Oryzias latipes: one gene and its partner. The protein of the gene in region 2 purifies or fractionates together with the protein of the main gene of each other region. This does not show direct contact. Links are inferred from orthologs where the notes say so. Each region holds a gene or a part of one and is shown on either strand. Other genes may lie near its edges.

Region 1 (9,750 bases), on a different chromosome or scaffold from region 2:
TTGTTTTTAAATTAGACCAGACTTGACTCTTAAATTTTTGGCTTTATCTCTGAAACACATGAAAATAATAGCATGTTCCAACATTTAACACAAATTCAAGTCTTCTACCCCACAAATAAAATAAGTTTTTTTTGTGCATATAAGTATTTGACCGTTCTAACAGTTTTTTGTCCTCCAGGCACGAGATGATGACGACAAACCCACAGTGCCTTCCACCCTGGTGGAGGAGTTCGAGTACAACCCCTTTCTTCGGCTCTCGTGAGTTTGGATCCTCGTAAACTCCACGTACAGCCAATGACCGTAAGGAAACTCTACATTCAGCTTTTTTTGTTCATTCTTTTCTCAAAAGGGTAGAGGCGGTGCAAAAATTCACTGGAAAGACAGAGCCTGTGGAGGTTTTGAGGGCCCTTCGGAAGGAGAGGGACAAGTTTAAAAAACCCAAGGACAGACTTCCGCCTCATGCCCTGTTCGCTCTGCAGTGGGGACTGCTTCGGCCTCGTGATCCAGTTTCTTAGCTTTAACTTTCGGGTACAATCCACCATCAAGAGGACCTACTTAATGCAGGAAGACACTGAAGTGTATCGTAGAGAATGATGCCCAACCCAAGAACTTATGGTATGAGGTTCACCAGCTACCAATCCTGGTTGTATAGATGAACTATGATGTGGCTGCTTTGGTTAACCCTTGTGCTATCCTAGGCACTTTAACATTGGGAGTTGGGTCATCTAGACCCACTAGACAGTGCTCTGAACCTTTTTTCTTCAATGATTTGTGATCTTCACTGGTGTCCATGGATAACATGAAATCTTTCCACCTTAATCCACCTTTGTCATGGTAGGGAGAACACGTCAATGTAAGGGTGGGGTCACCTAAGATAGCACAAGGGTTTTAAAGGCCCATTCAAGGCTGTTTTCCTTTGAGAGCCAAAAAACTCTTTTTGTGCCGCCCAGCTGTCTGCACCAACTCCATAAAACTGTTAACGTTTTAAAGCAAAAATCTCTGCACATCAGTTTTCTGATGCCAAATGACGTAATTTTTTTTTTACTTTAAGTCTTAAGCAATGCACATTTAAAAGGAGATAAGGCACTTATACTGAAATATCTAATTTAAAAATGACCTGTTATGTATAAATGGTTTGCAGCAGGTAATGTTAAAATGAAAAAAGTAACATTAAAATTGGTTTCAGATCAAATGTTTATTATTGAAGTATTTCTTTTCTTCTTGATAGGGTAAATATTTTACAGCCAATCTGTTTTGTTTCCATTTTCTTTTTAACCCTTGTTATCCTAGGCACTTTAATATTGGGAGTTGGGTCATCTAGACCCACTAGACAGTGCTCTGAACCTTTTTCCTTTCAATGATTTGGGATCTTCACTGGTGTCCATGGATTACATGAAATCTTTCCACCTTTATCATGGTAGGAAGAACACGTCAATGTAAGGGTGGGGTCATCTAAGATAGCACAAGGGCTAAGTTGGTTGAACTAGATCATTAAAAATTCAATTTCTTCAAGAATGTTGTTAGAATTTAAGTGTAATATGTTTTTCTTGTTGTTGTTTTATGTACAGAGTTTCTACTTTATTTGAACTTTTACCAACAGGGTAAAGAAGAAAACTGTTTGTTGTCATTGCAACTTCTGCTGCTTTCTAATACAAAACTAACTGTTCATTAAAAATTTCTATTAAAAAAAGCACATCAGTTAATAACTAGCTTTTGTGGTCATTTTATTTCTGCAAAAGCATATGTACATATAACTATTAAATAAAAGAGTAATAATTATCTTTTTTAAAGCATTGTTTTTATACTTTGAACAACCAAAAAAAGACATTTGGGTCATCTTGAGGCACAGGGATCATCAGCTGGGACTCTCAGCGGTATACTGCTGACTCATCACCACTTAATGGTGAGTCCGTTGGTCATCTTCTCTACAGCGTGGTATTGTGTGCGCAGCAGCTCTCTGGCTCTGTCTTCTCCCACGCCATGGAGCCATGTTTGGTAAATCTCTGCCACGCGAGTGTCATCCTCTGGCAGTAGGGGGCGCTCTTCCTTGTACAGCTCCTCAACTTTTTGAAGCAGCTCTTTCTGGTTCTGACCAGCGGCTGCCTTTATCTGTCCGCCTCCGTTAAGGCAGCCTGGGAGAATAAAAAGAAGGATAAAAGTATCGTATCTGCATCAAAGTTAGAATTTTTTTTTTTTAATCTATTCCAACTATAAAAAAATCATACCTGATGGACAGGCCATAACTTCTACAAAATGGTACAGGGATTTTCCCCTTTTCAGTTTCTGCACAAGGTTCTGAATGTTGCGAAATCCGTATGTTGCAGCAAAGCACAGCAGAACTTCCCCATCTTTCTCCAGTCTCACCTCCTGGAAGTCTTTGTTCCTGGGCCATCGAACAAGAGTGAAGATGAGAAAAGCAACTTTTTGTTTTTTTTGTAAAAAGACACAATTTATATAGGTGAGCAAACCTTAGAGTTTTGTAGGTGAGCTCCTTTACTTCTTCTCCAAAGAGCTGCTTAGCAGCATAGGTGAAGACGTGATGGAGGTAACCTCCGGATCCACTGCCAGCGTGGCTCAGGAGCTCATCCCCACAGACGCTGCTGAACCTGAGGGTAAAAATAGGCAGCATCAGAAGAGTTTTGAGAGATAAAGTTTTCTTAAAAAAAGAGGGAACTTACATCGAATCAAGAGTTCCAGGCTCAACATCATTCAGAGAAATATGATGTTCCTCCAGCATTTTCTGAACCTCTCCTGAAGAGAGGACAGACAAATAACCATGTGGATGCTGCATATGCACCTAAGTATTACTTATAAGGGTAATTACTGTACCAGACGTTATGACACAATCCACTTCTCTGGTCTCCGCTTTGTTCATAAAAAAATCTGAGCGTGACGCTTCGAGTTTCTTGTCGAAGCAGGGCATCACAGCCACATGGTAAATCTGCTGAGGACTCAGCCCCTAACAGCACAAACAGATCCAGCTCAGTTAGTCTTTATTGAAATATTTACAGAACGGAGAAATCCAAACCCCACCTGCTTTTCTGCAAAGTGGCTTTTAACCAGAGACCCCATCATCTGCTGGGGGGAGCGGGTGGTGCTGATATATGGGAGAATATACTCCCCGTGTGTCTTCTCTGCATAGCAGATCCAACCTGAACACACATAAACGCACACTTTGGTCTGAATGGAGTTCAAAGCGTTTGATGCACCAACTATTTCATTCCTAACCAAAGCCTATAGAAAAGTTGTGCTAATTGTCTTTTTTTAGTTTTAATGAGAGCTGCTGTCACAGCTTCAGTCATGAACTGGACGGTCAAACATCGCAAAGTCAAATGTGAGTCAATCCCAAACACCCTAGCAAATCATTAACAGCATGGTGGGGTGGGGGGTGGGGGGGGTTGAGCTGCTACAACAGCTCAGCAAAAGTCCTGACCTCAACCTTTCAGAGACGTTTTCAGAGAAAAGAAGAGCGTAAACTGATACCCTTAAAAAACGTCAAGGACCTGAAACAAAGTGGTGATACTGAGATTCCGATTGAAAACTCTGTCTAAGCTTTTGGAGCTAAAGATAATGTCATGAACATTCACTATTAGGCTTTGATAAATATATAAAATACGAAATAGAAGGCCTTCAAAAACAAAATAAATACACAAATGTGGTTTCCGTTCCACATTCAAATCAAGCTAAAAGCTTTCAAAGAAGTTGTGAAGTTTTGGCTTCTATTTTCTATCATGGAGCTCTATGTCCGTACCTGGACAGGCGGAGGTTAACATGGGCAGAGCCTTGTTGTCCTGTCCCTTCCTCTGGAAACGTTCCACAAACTCTCTCTGACTTTCCAGCAGACTGAAGGTCCGACTAAAGCTGGTGTCAAACACATAGTGAACCCCTGTAAAAAAAAGCGACCATCTTTCAGACACGTACACAGCCACTGCTTCAACTTGATTTATGAAACATTAAAAGAGGGAAACGTTACCCAGGTTTTTGAGGAAAGAGGTGAGCCTCCTTCCTGCCTCACTGCTGCTGATACCAAAGTGTGCAGCGAGGGACGCTCTGGACTGCGGGGACACGGACACCACCACAGTCTTCTGCTCTGCTGCACCCTGTGGGGGAACGAAGACTTAAGCGGAACACAAACCCAACCATAAGTAGACAAACTGAGCAAAACACTCTACCTTGTTGTTCCGAAGCACTTTTAAAAGCTCCTCGGGGCTCTGCTGAGTGATGAGGACACTCTCAGCTGAGGTGATGCAACCGCTGCACGCCAAGCAGTCGTTCAGTGAGATCTTTGCTTTTTCCAGCTTCTCCTTCCCGCCATCCTTTCAACACAAGACACTTCCATGAGCATGATACTAAATTATTGCATTTGGTACTCTGACAGTCTGCTCTATGAAGTCCATTCATGATTCAAATACCTCAGACTAAAAGGCAAAAATAAGTGTGAATCCTCACCTGGTTGACTTGGACATAACTACCATCATCCTCTATCTGTATTCTGGCCACAGATTTGCCTTGTTTCTTCTCGACTTTTATTGGTTTGACACATTCCTAACGAAAAACACAGATATGAAAAAAACAAAAAGGTAAACAACCGTTGAACCTGATACGTAGTTTCTGTCAACATGCAAAAATGGGATGGGAGAACTGTAAGCAAATTTACACCACAAAAGTCAGAATGATCAGAGAGCTTAGATTTGATCACATTGAATTAGTAATAGTTTATCATTGACCAAATGTAGGTGGAGAAAACAAGGCCTTTAAGTGTTATTTTCGTCTTGAGAAGTCATAAGTTTGGAGGGGATACAGGGGCATCATTCAAGCATCTGGGGTTACAGGAGCTCAAAACAAAAGTCAGTGGCAACAGGATGAATGACGAATACATGAAGTAAAGACATGTTTTATCCATGTGTTTTGACTTTTGTCTGTTTGAAAGTCCGATCAATACTGCAACTTCTTTCCATGTTTTGACATCTGTGTTACCATTAGCAAAACAAAAGCTAACCGATTCGTTATTTTTGCTGCCAATGAATTGTAATTTTAGACGAAAGTAATATATGTAAAAACTAGAAACGAACACTACATGTTTACTAACGTAAAGGCTAACTAGAATCTGTTTGTTTTGGTTTCTTCTTCCAGGAACAGCACTTACAAGAGCAACTACCACCACCAGAGCATGCTAGCTTAGCTCCCTAAGAGCGAACTGAGCTTTTAGCATTTTGATTGGGAAATAAGCGAAACTCCTCTGCTTGTAATGTCCTTCTAGAATAAACTTAAGTATTATTTTTGACACTGACCTGGGAAGGGGTGATAAAATCGTCCAGATCTGTCAGTTGCAGTACACCGCTGAAGACAGAGGCCATAGTTACTGCCGCAAACCCGTTGTTTACTCTTGTGTCGTGAAATGCTGGTCTGGAAGAGCACGTTCAGGCTCCACTAATAGTAATAGTTTGCCCCATTCTCTCATACAGTCAATGGGTTTGCCATGCATGTTCTGTATGTGCAACATTTGTCAACTAAGATAAAATAAGTAAATACATTTTTTTTACCACAGTATCTGGTAAATACTTGGGTTGTTTTATGTTGTATCTATTCAAATCGTATTCACAAATCACAAAGGCTTTTTTGTGTAATTTAATTTGCAGATTTGCAAATGGATTATATCTTTGTAATTTGTCAAAAGATTTTTTCTATTAGTTAGAACAACTTTTAACTTGATTGTGCTAATTGTTTGTATTTGCACAGTTTCTTCTGTAGATGTAATATTTTTTTTTTTAAAGTTTGCATTTTATTAGTTATATGTCAAGTGGAACACACAAAAGAACCTGTATTAGAATATGTTGGTCACTTAATTAGGGACAAAATATAAATACAACAAAGGAATTTTGGTCAGATTGTAACAACCTATACTGAACAATCTAGTACAACTTTAGGGGAAAGTCTGAATAAAACAACATTGCTTCATTCAGTTTGCTTTTTGTGAAGTGCCTTGAGAGAATCTTGACAAAAAGATGTCAGATGCTCATCCTAAAATATATCATACAGTAATTTGAAGAGTCTTAAATAATTCAAGAGTAATTTTAAAAATGGAATGTTTTTTAAATAGAAAATCTTTGTGGTTTACACTAAGAGGTGACATTTTATTCGTGATGATGGTTGTGTGTTTGACATACTGCATCTCTATGTAGTAAAATGTGCATTGTCAATATAAATGCCAATATTTTTACTATCGCTATTGGAACATTTATAGAGTAATATTTTTTCAAAAATACAAATGAAATATAAGTAAAAATCCAAATATAAATGACGACAGCTTTAACGATTTTATCACGTTTTCTTTCAACAAAAAAATAATAAAAAATAAATAATAATAATAATAACAAATGTATCGTTTTTTGAATGCCTTTTTATTTTTGTGGTTAAATGTTTCGTTTATTATTTTATCTTCTGCATGCGAGTGCATGCGCTCTTTTGTTGTTATGACTACAGGGTCGTAAATCCGCCATGTTTTCCCTCCCCAGCACAGCGTTGCGACAGAGACGGAGAAGTCAAACGACATGAATGCAGAAAATAATCATACGGCAGAAACAGAGAAGGAGCGAACGACGAACGGCAGTGAGACTATCACCATTCAAACCACCCTTGGAGATGAAGGTTAGTTTTCAGCCAGTTCAAAACACTCCCAAAATCAGGGTTTTTTGTCCGTAGTTTGGGCCTTGCTAACTTCCTCCATCGCGAAATTGTTGCTAATTCGTCTTTAGCAACATCTAGTTTACGGCTTTGCTGCAGGTTTGAGTTGTCAGCGGCCTTTTTAAAAGATGCCCAGATAAGCAGGTGATAGCTTTTTGGTGCTAGATAGTTTTTTAAGCTAATGGTAGCTAAATATGCTTCGTCTTTGTGTTTTTAGACGATGTACACAAGTGTGGACGCTGTCAATCCGAATTTTCCACGCTTGAAGCATTTATCCAGCACAAGTTACATAACGACTGTAAACGGGTGGAGACTGACCACACTGCTAATCAAGAGGTATGTGCTAAATCTGGAACTATGTTTAAAGTATTGATGAATCAACTTGAGTCTATAATCTTCACTCAGAAAATGTTGAAATGATTGAGAAATTCCTGAATCGATATTCTTATGTTTACATTCCATCCCTTTCTTTTGGAAGGACAAATAAGAAAAAAATCTGTAAGCCATTTATCTGAATTGTTTATAGAATTGTAAACTGATAAATCCAAATTGAACAATTAAATTTCTGATAGTCAGTCAGTATTATGTTTTTCATTGGGGGTGTAACATTTAATTCATTAATTGATTTCTAATTCTACGATCCAACCAGATCAATCTAGTATCTGAGGCCATTTGTTGATCAAATCGACCTATACCTATATGTATATATGTATATATGATCTGTTTATTTCATTTAGAAATTATAGAATAATTTCTAAATGAAATAAACAGATCATAATCGACATTGGAAAATACCATTTGGTCGTAATGGCAGCAAAAAAATGATTAAGCCATCATTCAGTCTAATGTGTGGAAATACTTAAATTTGCGAAGACATACACCCATACAGTGTGTTCTAATCCCTCTGTATCATTTCAATGCAGAAAAACAACAATGGAAAGAACTTTATAAAACTAAAATGTGAATGGATTTGCCAGTAATACTTGTTTAATTGTTTTTTTGTACACATATGTAATTTACCTTTAATTATCTTAGAAGAAATACGAAGAATCTGGAAAACTTCTGCACTGTTCAGTGCCCAGGTATTTATTTTTGTGTCATTGGTTCTATTTTTGGCTAAAGACGTCCTGGATCAGTCTTAGGTCAGTGAATGGGATTGTTAAAAATTAGCCAATATTGACTATGAATCGTATCAGCAACCACATATAATGATATGAATCTTTGTTTAAATGAATCGTTACACCCTTATTTTCCATTCTAATTAGTATTTTTACAGAGTTGGAAAACATTTTTCTCTCCCAGGTCATTACATCCAATGGAAGTTGTGCCTCAGAGGTGAAATCCGCCGATGGTTTATCTTCAGATAAAGCATTAAAACCCGATGGTAAGTCAGCAAAACTAGTTTGGATTCTTACTCATTTTATTCACTTTAATCATGTGTAACATATTAAAATCCCTTCAAAAAATACTTAAAATTAGGGCTGCACGATATGAGGAAAAAATGCGATTTGCACTATTAATGATGCGATGACAATTTAACTTGCGATACATGAAATAAATAGCAACAACAATAACTAATAAATACATCATTTCCATTTCATTGCAACAGTTTAATTTAAATAAGAGTCACCTTAACTTAAATTACACTCTAAATGACACTAAACTACATAGGATTCAATTCAATTCAATTTTATTTGTGTAGCCCAAAATCACAACAACAGTCGTCTCGATGGGCTTCGAAGTAAAACATGAACTCAAAAGGATCATGAATACAAAGAGTTCAATAGTAAAATGAACTAACAAACTGACTAAGCTATACTGGCATCCCTGCCCTTAGACCCCCCTTCGCGGTAAGGAAAAACTCCCAAAAAAACCGGATTCCGGAAAAACAAAGAAACCTCAGGGCTGCCCACATGAAGGAGGGATCCTCCCCCAGGACGGACAGGCGATTTACCAGAACTCAAAGAGAAGAATTTACTTATCTAAATCTACAACTACACATATAAAAGTCCAGCAGACGAGCTTCATCCAGCCGTGGTTGGGGGGACAGTCAAAGGCGCGAGTCGAGCCGGAGACAGGAACCACAGCCAGGTGTAGGAGCAGGAGCAGAGGCGAGGTAAACGGTCAGGAACTGGAGCACGGATGAACCAACTGGAGTCTGGAAGCACTCCCACTCCCCAGGAGGGGAGAAGAAAAGAGGGACAATACATGAATCGCACTGCACTAAACAGAGGCATGGAGAACTAAATGATAAATTATGATCAAGAATAGAGGAGAGGAAGGGTAGAAGTAGAAAAGAAAAGAGGACAGAACCCCAGTGCACCATAGTTACCCCAGCTTCAACTTCTAGCAGCCTTTTAAAAGAAATAGTTATTAAGTTTAATTTAAACAAATTAACATTAAGTTAAATAATCTATAAATACTAACTAGTCTGACAATAAGCCTGTCCAAAGAGGAATGTTTTAAGTCTAACTTTGAATGTAGAAACTGAGTCGGCCTCTCTTACATGAGCTGGGAGTTTATTCCATAAGACAGGGGCTTGGTGGCTAAACGCTCTACCTCCAACCGTACTTTTACTAATTCTAGGAACCACAAGCAGTCCTGCATTTTGCGAACGAAGTGTTCTTATTGGATGGTAAGGGACTATGAGGTCCTTAATATAGGACGGGGCCATTCCATGTAAGGCCTTATAGGTTAACAGGAGGATCTTGAACTTGATTCTAGAATCAACTGGGAGCCAATGGAGCGAAACCAACACAGGAGTGATGTGATCTCTTCTGCTAGTTCCAGCTAACAATCTAGCTGCTGCGTTCTGAACAAGCTGGAGACTTCTTAAGGAACTCTTAGGATATGCTGCTAACAAGGAGTTACAGTAATCCAGCCTCGACGTAACAAATGCATGGATGAGTTTTTCAGCATCACTCTTAGAAAGTATATTTCTGATCTTAGCAATATTCCGCAGGTGAAAAAAAAAAAAGGAGGCAAACATTTAAGATAAAAGGGCTCCATCTGATTGGTCAAATGCATTCAGTAAATAGATTTGATTTGTTAAATACTTTGAGCCTT
Region 2 (9,688 bases):
ATCCTGAGCAAGGTTCACGTTTGAAATGCTTCTCTCCTCCCTCTTCTGTGAATGTGTGTGTAAAGCTGATCCCACTGTGTGTTTGCTGCATGCAGGCGATCCGCCTCATCCAGGCCTGCGTGGACGTGCTGTCTAGTAACGGCTGGCTCAGTCCTGCGCTGGCTGCCATGGAGCTGGCCCAGATGGTCACCCAGGCTATGTGGTCCAAGGACTCCTACCTGAAACAGCTGCCCTACTTCACCTCAGAGCACATCAAGCGTTGTACTGACAAGGTGTTTCGCATCGTCTGACTGCTGCTTTTGTCTTCTGTCAAAGCTCGCACATTTAAACTGAAAAGTTAAACCTGTGTGTTTTGTCTCCAGGGTGTGGAGAGTATATTTGACATAATGGAAATGGAGGATGAAGACCGAAGCGGCTTGCTGCAGCTCACAGACGCTCAGATGGCAGACGTGGCTCGCTTCTGTAACCGTTACCCCAACATCGAGCTCGCGTATGAAGTGGTAGAAAGGGATAACATAAAGAGGTTAGTGTGCAGTCCAATCAAGAACTATTCAAAACAATGATGCATTTTTGGATCAGATTTACATCAGCACTGCCCTCTGGATAAAATTTGGTCTGTGTTTTCTTCAGTGGCAGTCCAGTTCTGGTTCAGGTTCAGCTGGAGCGTGAGGAGGAGGTGACTGGCCCTGTCGTCGCTCCCCTTTTCCCTCAGGTCAGTTGAGTGGCTGTCCACTTCCCTATAGGTGTTTCCTACATTTGCTTCATCGTTTGATCGTCTCATCGTTGCAGAAACGTGAGGAGGGCTGGTGGGTTGTGATCGGAGACCCGAAGTCGAACAGCCTGATCTCAATCAAGAGGCTGACTCTGCAACAAAAAGCGAAGGTGAGCCGCTGCTTTGAACACTCCCTAACCAAAAATACGCAAACTACCACAGTTTTCATTTTTGGTTCTTCTGTGTAGGTCAAGCTGGACTTTGTGGCACCAGCGATGGGCATTCACAACTACACGCTGTACTTCATGAGCGACGCTTACATGGGCTGTGATCAGGAGTACAAGTTCAGTGTGGACGTGAAGGAGGCAGACAGCGACAGCGATTCAGATTAAGCTGGAAATTCAAATTCTACATTTTTAATCCTTTTTTTTTTTTCAATAAATAATGGGATCAGGTTTTATATGTAGATATTTACCCCGATCAATCTCTGAGAGTGACCCTGTCAGTTCTCTGTGGGTGTTATAACATGTTTTCGTAGTCAGTACAATCGTTTTATCCTGTATGTTAAACAGCTTTTCAGAAGTTTTGTGTTCTTTACGTTGACCATTGATGTACTTTTCACAAAATTATTCAAAGATAAGTCTAAGACATCTTAAACTGCCGTTGAACAGCTGAGTCTCATCCACATTGCATGTTTAAATAGATTAGACTTTCCATTTTACTTTGGTTAAACGTCATAAGATTTTTTGGATTGGTTAAACCGTTTAATCATTCATGCTGTCTGTTTGTTTTTTGCAATAAAAACATCTGAAAATTGTTTTATAGTTTTATTATGAAACAATTAGTTCTTAGTCTGGCCCCTTTTATGCTACAAGCTCATGTCACTACAGCACTTAATGGATATTGACAAGATTGTTCTTGATCCCCTCCCTTTATCCCTATATATATCCCCACACCTGAAATGTCTGAATAAGCTTGCAAAAATGTCTTTTGGTAATGGAAATAACTGCACTGAATGAACTTGTTTTCAAGTTTGGTAGTTGGGTTTAACCCTTGTGCTATCGTAGACGACTCCCCCCCCCCTTACATTGACGTGTTCTCCCTACCATGATAAAGGTGGAAAGATTTCATGTAATTTATGGATACCAGAGAAGATTACAAATCATTGGAGAAAAAAGGTTCAGAGCACTTTCTAGTGGGTCTAGATGACCCCACTCCCAATGTTAGGATAGCACAAGGGTTAAATTAACAGTGCAAGCCAGTTGGTGAGCTTTGACTACTGATAGTGGTGTTGTGCTATCCTAGGCACTTTACCATTGGGAGTTGGGTCATCTAGACCCACTAGACAGTGCTCTGAACCTTTTTTTCTTCAATGATTTGTGATCTTCACTGGTGTCCATGGATTACATGAAATCTTTCCACCTTTATCATGGTAGGGAGAACACGTCAAAGTAAGGGTGGGGTCGTCTAAGATAGCACAAAGGTAAACCCAACTACCAAACTTGAAAACAAGTTCATTCAGTGCAGTTACTTATTTCCGTTTCCAAAATACATTTTTGCAAGCTTATTCAGACATTTCAGGTGTGGGGATATATATATATATATATTTTCCATTTTTTGGGTGTACAGTAGTTATGCACAGTCTCCGATCACTCCAAGGGTTTGAGGCTTTATTTAAATCATTTTTTTACAGAAAACCTGCTTTTTGCTATAAAGATGTATTTAGATGTAAACAGAACAGAACTAGTTTCTTGCTCCTTTTAAGTTGTAGGACTAAAAACAGTTAACCAGCACACCCATCATCACTTTTGTGAATAAAAATAGAACTTAAACTTTACATTTTACAATCATTCAGATTTATAAAGATAACTGTATAAGCATGACTTTATATAGCAAAAGAAAAGAACATTTAAGTTCAGCACAGGGTTTCATCCAATTGCTGGTGTCTCCACAGCAGGTTCAGTCTTCTTCTTGAAACCTCCAAATTGCAATGTCTCCATCATCACTGCAGGAGGCCAGGAGGCCGGCCTCCTTTGGGTTCCAGGCGACGCAGTTCACATCCTGACAGTGAGCCTTCTTCACCTGAGCAGCCAGCGAGAACACCGGCTCATCTGCATGGGCCGCGAGATCCTCCCTAAACACTCGTATGGCGTCGTCGCCACAGGCAGTTGCTAGGGCACCGGTCAGTCGACACCTACGCAACAGACAGTTGTTTGAGCCATAATAGTAAAGGGGACAAAGATTCAGCCGACTGATGACAAGCGCTGTTTTAGTGGTGGTACAGCCAAAAAAGCAAAGAAGAAAATCTGTTTTGGCAACTTTTTAAAAACTCTGTAAATAGAATCTATTTTTAAAGTAAAAAAAAAAAAATCAGACACCAGACTGTAGTGCAGGGGTGTCCAACTCATTTTGGTTCGGGGGCCACATTTAACCCGTCTGATCTCAAGTGGGCCGGACCAGTAACATAAAAGCAAAATAACAGCTTTGTTTTAGTTTTTTATTCAGTTGGAAAAAATGTCTCAATCAACATAGTAGCCTAATCACTTGGGGCCAATGGAGCTCAAATAAAATTAATTTCAATTAAAGAAAAGTTGGTCTATTCAAATTAATGCAGTCTGAATATTTTACATCTGACACTGAAGCAATCCAGAAACTTTTCTTTATGATAAGTCTCTTAGTGGTGCTGAATGTCATATTCTTTGAGCACTGCGATGTTGATGACATACAAAGCATTTGGGTTTTACATTCAGCTTCGTGAAAAAAAGAAAAAACTCTGTCCAATTTTCCTGGAAGGCTCTTCCCTCCACTTCACGTTTGACAGCATTTTGGTCATTAGGGTGTCGCTAATGATCATCCTTATAGCAAGATAACAGCGGTAAGGCTCATAGGGAACCAAGGTGCATCCTACCCAGACGCAGAGCTGTTATGTTTCGCTTTTGGCACATGCAGATATTTGCTGTTTCAACTGTTTTTCTTTTCCTTTACTCCCCCTAGTGGCGGAATTGCACATTTCTGTTATTTCTTTAAAAAATCATAATTCGCCACAGGAATGGACTAGAAACTTGCTTTCTTTTTTAATCATCCTTTTGATTTTTACTCTTCATGTGTGGGCCGGAGTAAACCACCTGGCGGGCCGGATAAGGCCCGCGGGCCGTGTGTTTGACACCCCTGCTGTAGTGTAAGTATTTAGTCTTACCAGGCAATGTCGTACACTGTTCGTCCATGATAACCCGACAGAGTGCAAACGCACTTCCATGACAAATCACCTAATAAAGCAGACCAAACAAAACATTCTGTGATTAAAAAATATCCTATTTTTTTTTATTTATGTCATAAACTACCCCTCTATCTTCTCACCACTCTCACTTGGATACTCCTTCCAAATCTTCACAGTGCGGTCATCGCTGCAAGACGCCAGCCTCTGTCCCGTCACGTCGAAACACAAACTCCAGACGGTGGACGTGTGTCCCTGCAGAGTGGCCCTGCACTCCCAGTCATCATCCTCCTCCTTGTAAATACAGATGTTGTTGTCGTAGCTGGCAGAAGCCAAGAGCTGCGGAAATAGAATAAAATACAACTTTATTGATCCCACAAACGTCGTTACCATGGCTCTATTAAAAACAGCACGTAGATCATAAATATGGCTAAAGATGCACTTTAACAATTAATAGCAACAATAATAAAACAACTACATGATGGTGAAGGACTGAGTGCAGACCTACCTCTTGCGTGGGATGCCACACAACATGCTTTACATCTTGTGTGTGCGAGTTCACCACTGTAACACACTCGTACTCATCTTCTTCGTCCACTGTGAAGAAGGAAAACAAAGGTTTACAACCCAGCTCTATATGTTTTCTGTGACAAAGGATTGTCCTGCAAGAGCTGGTGAGGACACAAACCTTCCCAAACCCAGACACTCTTGTCTCGGCTACAAGTGGCCAGCAAAGTCCCTGAAGGGGCCCACGCCACGCATTTGACCTCGTTTTCATGACCTTCCAACACAGTTAAGCTCTAGAAGACAAGAAAAGAGTCCAGGTGGAGCCAGAACACGTGTTAGATCAGAGGTTAAACGAACCTTACCTCAAAGTCGTCGTTCTTCTTTTTCCAGATGCATGTCGTCGCATCGAAGCTGGCGGAGGCCAGATAGTTCCCACAGGGAGACCAGGCTACTTTCCTCACAGTGCGCTGGTGTCCGTCCTGCAGAACGTTTTTACAAACCCAAGAGTCACCTTGAAAAGGGAAAACATGAACTGTAAAAAAGGTAAGGTCATCCAACCACTGATTTTAAATCGGCGTAGCAAAATTCGAATAGAAGGCTCTTTGTCTGTCTGAGTCTGACCTTCCTGTCCCCATATCCGGATGGCCTTATCGCCACCACACGAAGCCAGCAGCGCACCGCTCGGGCTCCAACTGACGAACCAGCACCGAGAATCTGGGTGTGCGCTGAGTTTCTGCACCAGAGAAATAGCCTCCTTCATGGCAGAGCTCCAGCAAACGTGACTCCTCTGTCTGTCAGGCGTCGACTCGACACTTTTCTCGATTTCCGTTAACCAAAGATTTAGGCTAAAAAGAGTCACAAATGAGGAAAACGACAGACAAGAGGACTGCGAGTAAATTAATACACCTTTATGAACATTAAAACAAAAGGAGGGGGAAATTAACCAAGGAAAATTGTTCACACAGATAAGTTCAAAGAAGCGTCAAATTAGGAAATGCCGCCATGTTTGCTTATCGGGATCTGGACCCGGTGCATTATGGGTTGATCTAAAATAAAACGTTTTGATGGTAATATTTCATTTATATATTTTTAAAGAAAGTGATCTACCTATATATGTATTTTTATAATATGAATCTATATTTACATTACTGTTTGCAAAGAAAATTTCATGCTAAACATTGTGTACATTTCTATTTTAGTTTCCGCTGGGGGCGGTAGTGTACAGCAAACATTCTAAACGTCACGAAGAAGAATGGCATATACAGGAAGTTAGGGATTTTGAGGAAAACAGCGTAAGCTATCTTTTGTTTTGTTTTGTGTTCCTTTTTGTATCATAGAGACGGACGGTTTTATCAGCGGGATTTGATGTTTACAGGTTATATTTTTTCCCATTCGTTCGCTAAAAAGTGTCTTTCCTCCGAGAACTGGTGACGTAAAGTGTTTATTTTTTTTAGTTAGCTTCAGAGGCTAACAACAGAGCTAAAGGCCCGCTTAGGATCTGTTCTTTGTGTTGGCTTTTCCTTAATATTTTTTGACTACTTTAGGGAAGCGGTTATTGTTGTTTTTATATTGTTGAGCACTTTTATCGCCACCGAAATCTTTGACATATCCTGGAAGACAATTGCCGTAGTTTTACTCTAATACCACAATAACCCGGTACTACTGTCAAGAGGAAGACAGTGCTAAGAGGAACCTACCACTTCAACAGAAAATTCGCCATTCGGTCAGCTATGTATGCCCCACCGGGTCCCGCTGTCTCCGGAGGTCGGAGGAGGAGAGCCGGTACCTCACTTCCCAAACAGCCGGAGCGGAGTCTAGTGTCGGCCCTGCCCGGAGCTTTGTCCATCACAGCGCTGTGCACGGCTCTGGCTGAACCTGCTTGGCTCCGGATTCACGGAGGCACCTGCCCGAGACAAGAACTCGGGGTGGCAGATGTCTTGGGATACGTTGATCCCAATCTTTTGGGTGGTAAGAACCAGCACAAAGTCGTTGCCACTCTAAGCTGAGGATCATGGAGTGCCTTAATTTATATGAATTTGTGGCACGTCTGTCTTTTCAGATTACTGTGTGAATCCGCAGACCATCCTGCTGCTAAGGGTAATAGCTGCCTTCTGTTTCCTTGGCATCCTGTGCAGTCTAACTGCGTTCCTCCTGGATGTGTTTGGACCCAAACACCCTGCCCTAAAGATAACTCGCAGATATGCTTTTGCACATATACTAACAGGTATCTACAGTGCTTGTTTTCATTTCTAATAAAGATCAAACACATTGCTACAATGTAACTGGTTTCTTTGTCTTTCCAGTGTTGCAGTGTGCCACAGTCATAGGCTTTTGCTACTGGGCATCGGAACTGATCTTGTCACTGCAGCAGCAACACAAAAAGTACCATGGCTCTCTCATTTACGTCACCTTTGCCATCAGCTTCTACCTGGTGGCAGGTGCTGGTGGAGCCTCCATTCTAGCCACTGCTGCAAACCTCCTGCGCCATTATCCCACCGAGGAGGAAGAGCAGGCCTTGGAGCTGCTCTCAGAAATGGAGGACAGCAGCGAGACTTTCCCTGCTGACTATGACATTGCCAACCAGTTTCAGCCACCTCCTGCCTACACACCATAATGCCAGCAAAAAGCGGCGACATGGCCTTGGGTTGTCTTTCCTCTCTGCACAGCTGTTTGCTTGACCCGCAAACCACATTCTTTATCAAATGAATATCTCTGCAAATATTCTTGGCAACGAAAACAGTTTGTGTACCTTTAGTGCACAGATTCATTCAATGAAAGTGCTGAGGTGCATGAACGCTTTTATTTGGTGGTGATAGACATTTAGAAGGGAATTCTTCATTTCAACATGGGGTTGGTTAAATATCTGCATTTAAATGACTTGCAGAATTTAGTCTTTACATGTAAAATTAAAAAAAAAAGCAATGAGTGCAAACCAGTACTCCCTAAGATTTTGATGATGCAGCCAAAGCCACACTGGCTCTTAGCAGATTGTTGATGTAATTGGAGAAAGATGGAGCTTTGCTAAGCAGCATTTAGATTTCATTTGATGTGCTTGTCATATGTATGATTTATTTTTAGATGCACCATAGATGCAAATTCATCTGTACACTGACGAGATTGTTTTAAATTTTTATTTTTATGAAAATTGACCCTATTTATTGCACATACTTTTCTTTTTGTCTTTGATTGTTCTTTTGCTTTGTAGACATTTGTCTATGGTTATATTCTGTGTCTTTTATTCTGTGCTTTTTGGTGGGGGGGTGAGATTTTGGGCGTTTAAGGAAAAAAAAACAGCCCGGGTGGGTGTTTTTGTTGTAAGGTGGGGGCGTAAAGAAAGGGAGATGCCCAAGAAAAGTGTTTGCAGGATGAGTATGTAAGGTTATTTTGTTTTTTATTTTTTGTCTTTGAATTGTTCTTATTTGTATTTTGTGACTGTGTGTTGGATCCATCATGTTGTACCCATGCATGAGTTCTTTAGTGTGCAATTTTTACGTTTCAGCCCAAATCTTCTCACTTAGTTCAGACTTGGAATTGTGGCTAATGTGTTTCGAGTTGGTTTTACAACATTTTTCCACTATTAATCTTTGCTATACTGTCAGCAGTATGTACATATTGATTGCTTACATCAACTGATTCTAATAAAGTCAAAGTCATATTTTGCGTCCTGCTGGTTTACATCCCACTGAGGCGTCCAGGAGTTTAACCAAATGTCAGCCTTCCACTAACTAACTGAAGCCTTTAAATTTGATCTGTCTTTTCCATCTGCCAAGGATATTTCTGGGTTCACCGTCTAGACGCTACATGGCATTACTAGAGAGTAAGAGCCTTACAATCTAATGGACTTTAAAGGGCATATGGAATGTCACTCAGCTGCTTTAAACATTGAACACAATTTCTCCACCAGCAAATCCCATGAAGATCAAAGGCAAACAAAGATATTGATTGGATTTGTCAGGAGGCGTCCCTCTGTGGTTAAATAAGTTGATTAGGGGAGCGGTGAAGGCGGTAATGGCGTAGGTAAGGGAGTTCAGTGGGGAAACAAGTGCAGGTGTGATAAGACAATGGTCTTACGTGGCCACGTCACTTTGGCTGCACTATGGAGGTATATATACAGGCCGCTTCACTCGGATCAATATCAGGACTATCAGAGGTCGTGGAAAGCTCTGTGAGAAACTCCAACGTTTCATTTCTCCTCTCAAAGCCGTGAGACCAAAGCAGAACCATGTTGGGAACCAGGGCTTTGCTTTCTAAACAAACACTGGCTGTTTTTTTCCGCCAGCCTGCCTGCTTTGTTCACCAGGGTGACTATGGCAACTGGGGAAACACCAATGTCGCTGTGGTAGGTTAAGCAGAACTTTGTGAGATCAGTAATGAGATCATGGCACACATTGCTGGAATTTCTCCTTATACTCTAGGTTTTCTCTGGATGCGGATGGTGGGATGGAACTGACGTCCATGAGGGCGTGTAGTGAGTATGAGAAGATCAGGAAAGTTTTGTACACCAGTGAATGACCATAACTGGAAACACTTGTGTTTAGCACCATGTACCACCTGAGCAGAAATGGCGCTCGCTTCCAGATTTTTGCCCCAAATCAACAGCAGATGAACGTGATGGACCACATGAAAAAGCAACCAGCTTCTGGGGAGAACAGGTTGGAGCCACTCATTTGACACGCTTAAGAAGAGCTCTGTTCTTCCCTAATGTCATAGTTTTGATATTCAACTTGACTGGAACTACTTTTGGTCATGTTTGACTGATAAACAGGAACATGATGATTGAGTCAGCGCGCTTCAGCCACGGGCAGGGAAAGATGCAAATGCAGGACCTGTCTTCCCTGGATGCCAGCAGCTTTGATGCCGTCATCTTCCCTGGAGGCTACGGCATCACTAAGAATCTGTGAGGAACATAACCACAAAAAAAAAAAGACTGAAAACACACAAAGGTAAAAGCTGGTGTGACTGAACGCAAAGAACTAAGACTAATGGATGTATCTTGACTCTTCAGATCCTCTTTTATGAAGGATGGCAAAGACTTTAAGCTGCATAATGATGTGGAAAGGGTGCTGAAGGACTTCCACCGTTCACGGAAACCTATCGGGTATGTAAGAGTAAGGTGCTGCTGACTTAATAAATGCCTGAAAACAACCTCAATTGACAGTCAATCGTGAGGCAAATTTCACCACGTGTTTCTGAAGACACCAGAGAAGCAGCTGGAAGTGACAAGCAAAGAGGTGCATGGTTCATTATTGAATAAT

Evidence for each region.
Region 1: the proteins of ciao1 (region 2) and narfl purify together in Homo sapiens (affinity purification with western blotting; 3 studies listed by BioGRID and IntAct, with this or other methods). This does not show direct contact. The link is inferred for Oryzias latipes from reciprocal best matches to the Homo sapiens genes CIAO1 and CIAO3.

Annotation. Positions count from the first base shown.
Region 1 is NC_019866.2:12,254,477-12,264,226, reverse strand, and holds narfl (cytosolic Fe-S cluster assembly factor NARFL), read right to left. Parts: upstream 5,416-9,750; 5' UTR 5,358-5,415; coding exon 5,292-5,357; intron 4,546-5,291; coding exon 4,450-4,545; intron 4,317-4,449; coding exon 4,173-4,316; intron 4,101-4,172; coding exon 3,974-4,100; intron 3,887-3,973; coding exon 3,752-3,886; intron 3,153-3,751; coding exon 3,034-3,152; intron 2,960-3,033; coding exon 2,830-2,959; intron 2,752-2,829; coding exon 2,679-2,751; intron 2,607-2,678; coding exon 2,469-2,606; intron 2,384-2,468; coding exon 2,226-2,383; intron 2,133-2,225; coding exon 1,891-2,132; 3' UTR 1,703-1,890; downstream 1-1,702. Other genes in the region: hydroxyacylglutathione hydrolase-like protein, read left to right, coding at 179-258, 350-515; transcription factor E4F1, read left to right, coding at 6,552-6,648, 6,902-7,020, 7,987-8,068.
Region 2 is NC_019867.2:18,358,514-18,368,201, reverse strand, and holds ciao1 (probable cytosolic iron-sulfur protein assembly protein CIAO1), read right to left. Parts: upstream 5,470-9,688; 5' UTR 5,194-5,469; coding exon 5,055-5,193; intron 4,945-5,054; coding exon 4,796-4,944; intron 4,727-4,795; coding exon 4,615-4,726; intron 4,524-4,614; coding exon 4,435-4,523; intron 4,266-4,434; coding exon 4,070-4,265; intron 3,979-4,069; coding exon 3,909-3,978; intron 2,907-3,908; coding exon 2,672-2,906; 3' UTR 2,362-2,671; downstream 1-2,361. Other genes in the region: snrnp200 (U5 small nuclear ribonucleoprotein 200 kDa helicase), read left to right, coding at 1-12, 96-272, 363-523, 631-712, 790-882, 961-1,104; tmem127 (transmembrane protein 127), read left to right, coding at 6,164-6,401, 6,493-6,657, 6,737-7,047; ES1 protein, mitochondrial-like, read left to right, coding at 8,656-8,772, 8,849-8,901, 8,972-9,085, 9,199-9,330, 9,439-9,531. UniProt on the Homo sapiens protein: Key component of the cytosolic iron-sulfur protein assembly (CIA) complex, a multiprotein complex that mediates the incorporation of iron-sulfur cluster into extramitochondrial Fe/S proteins.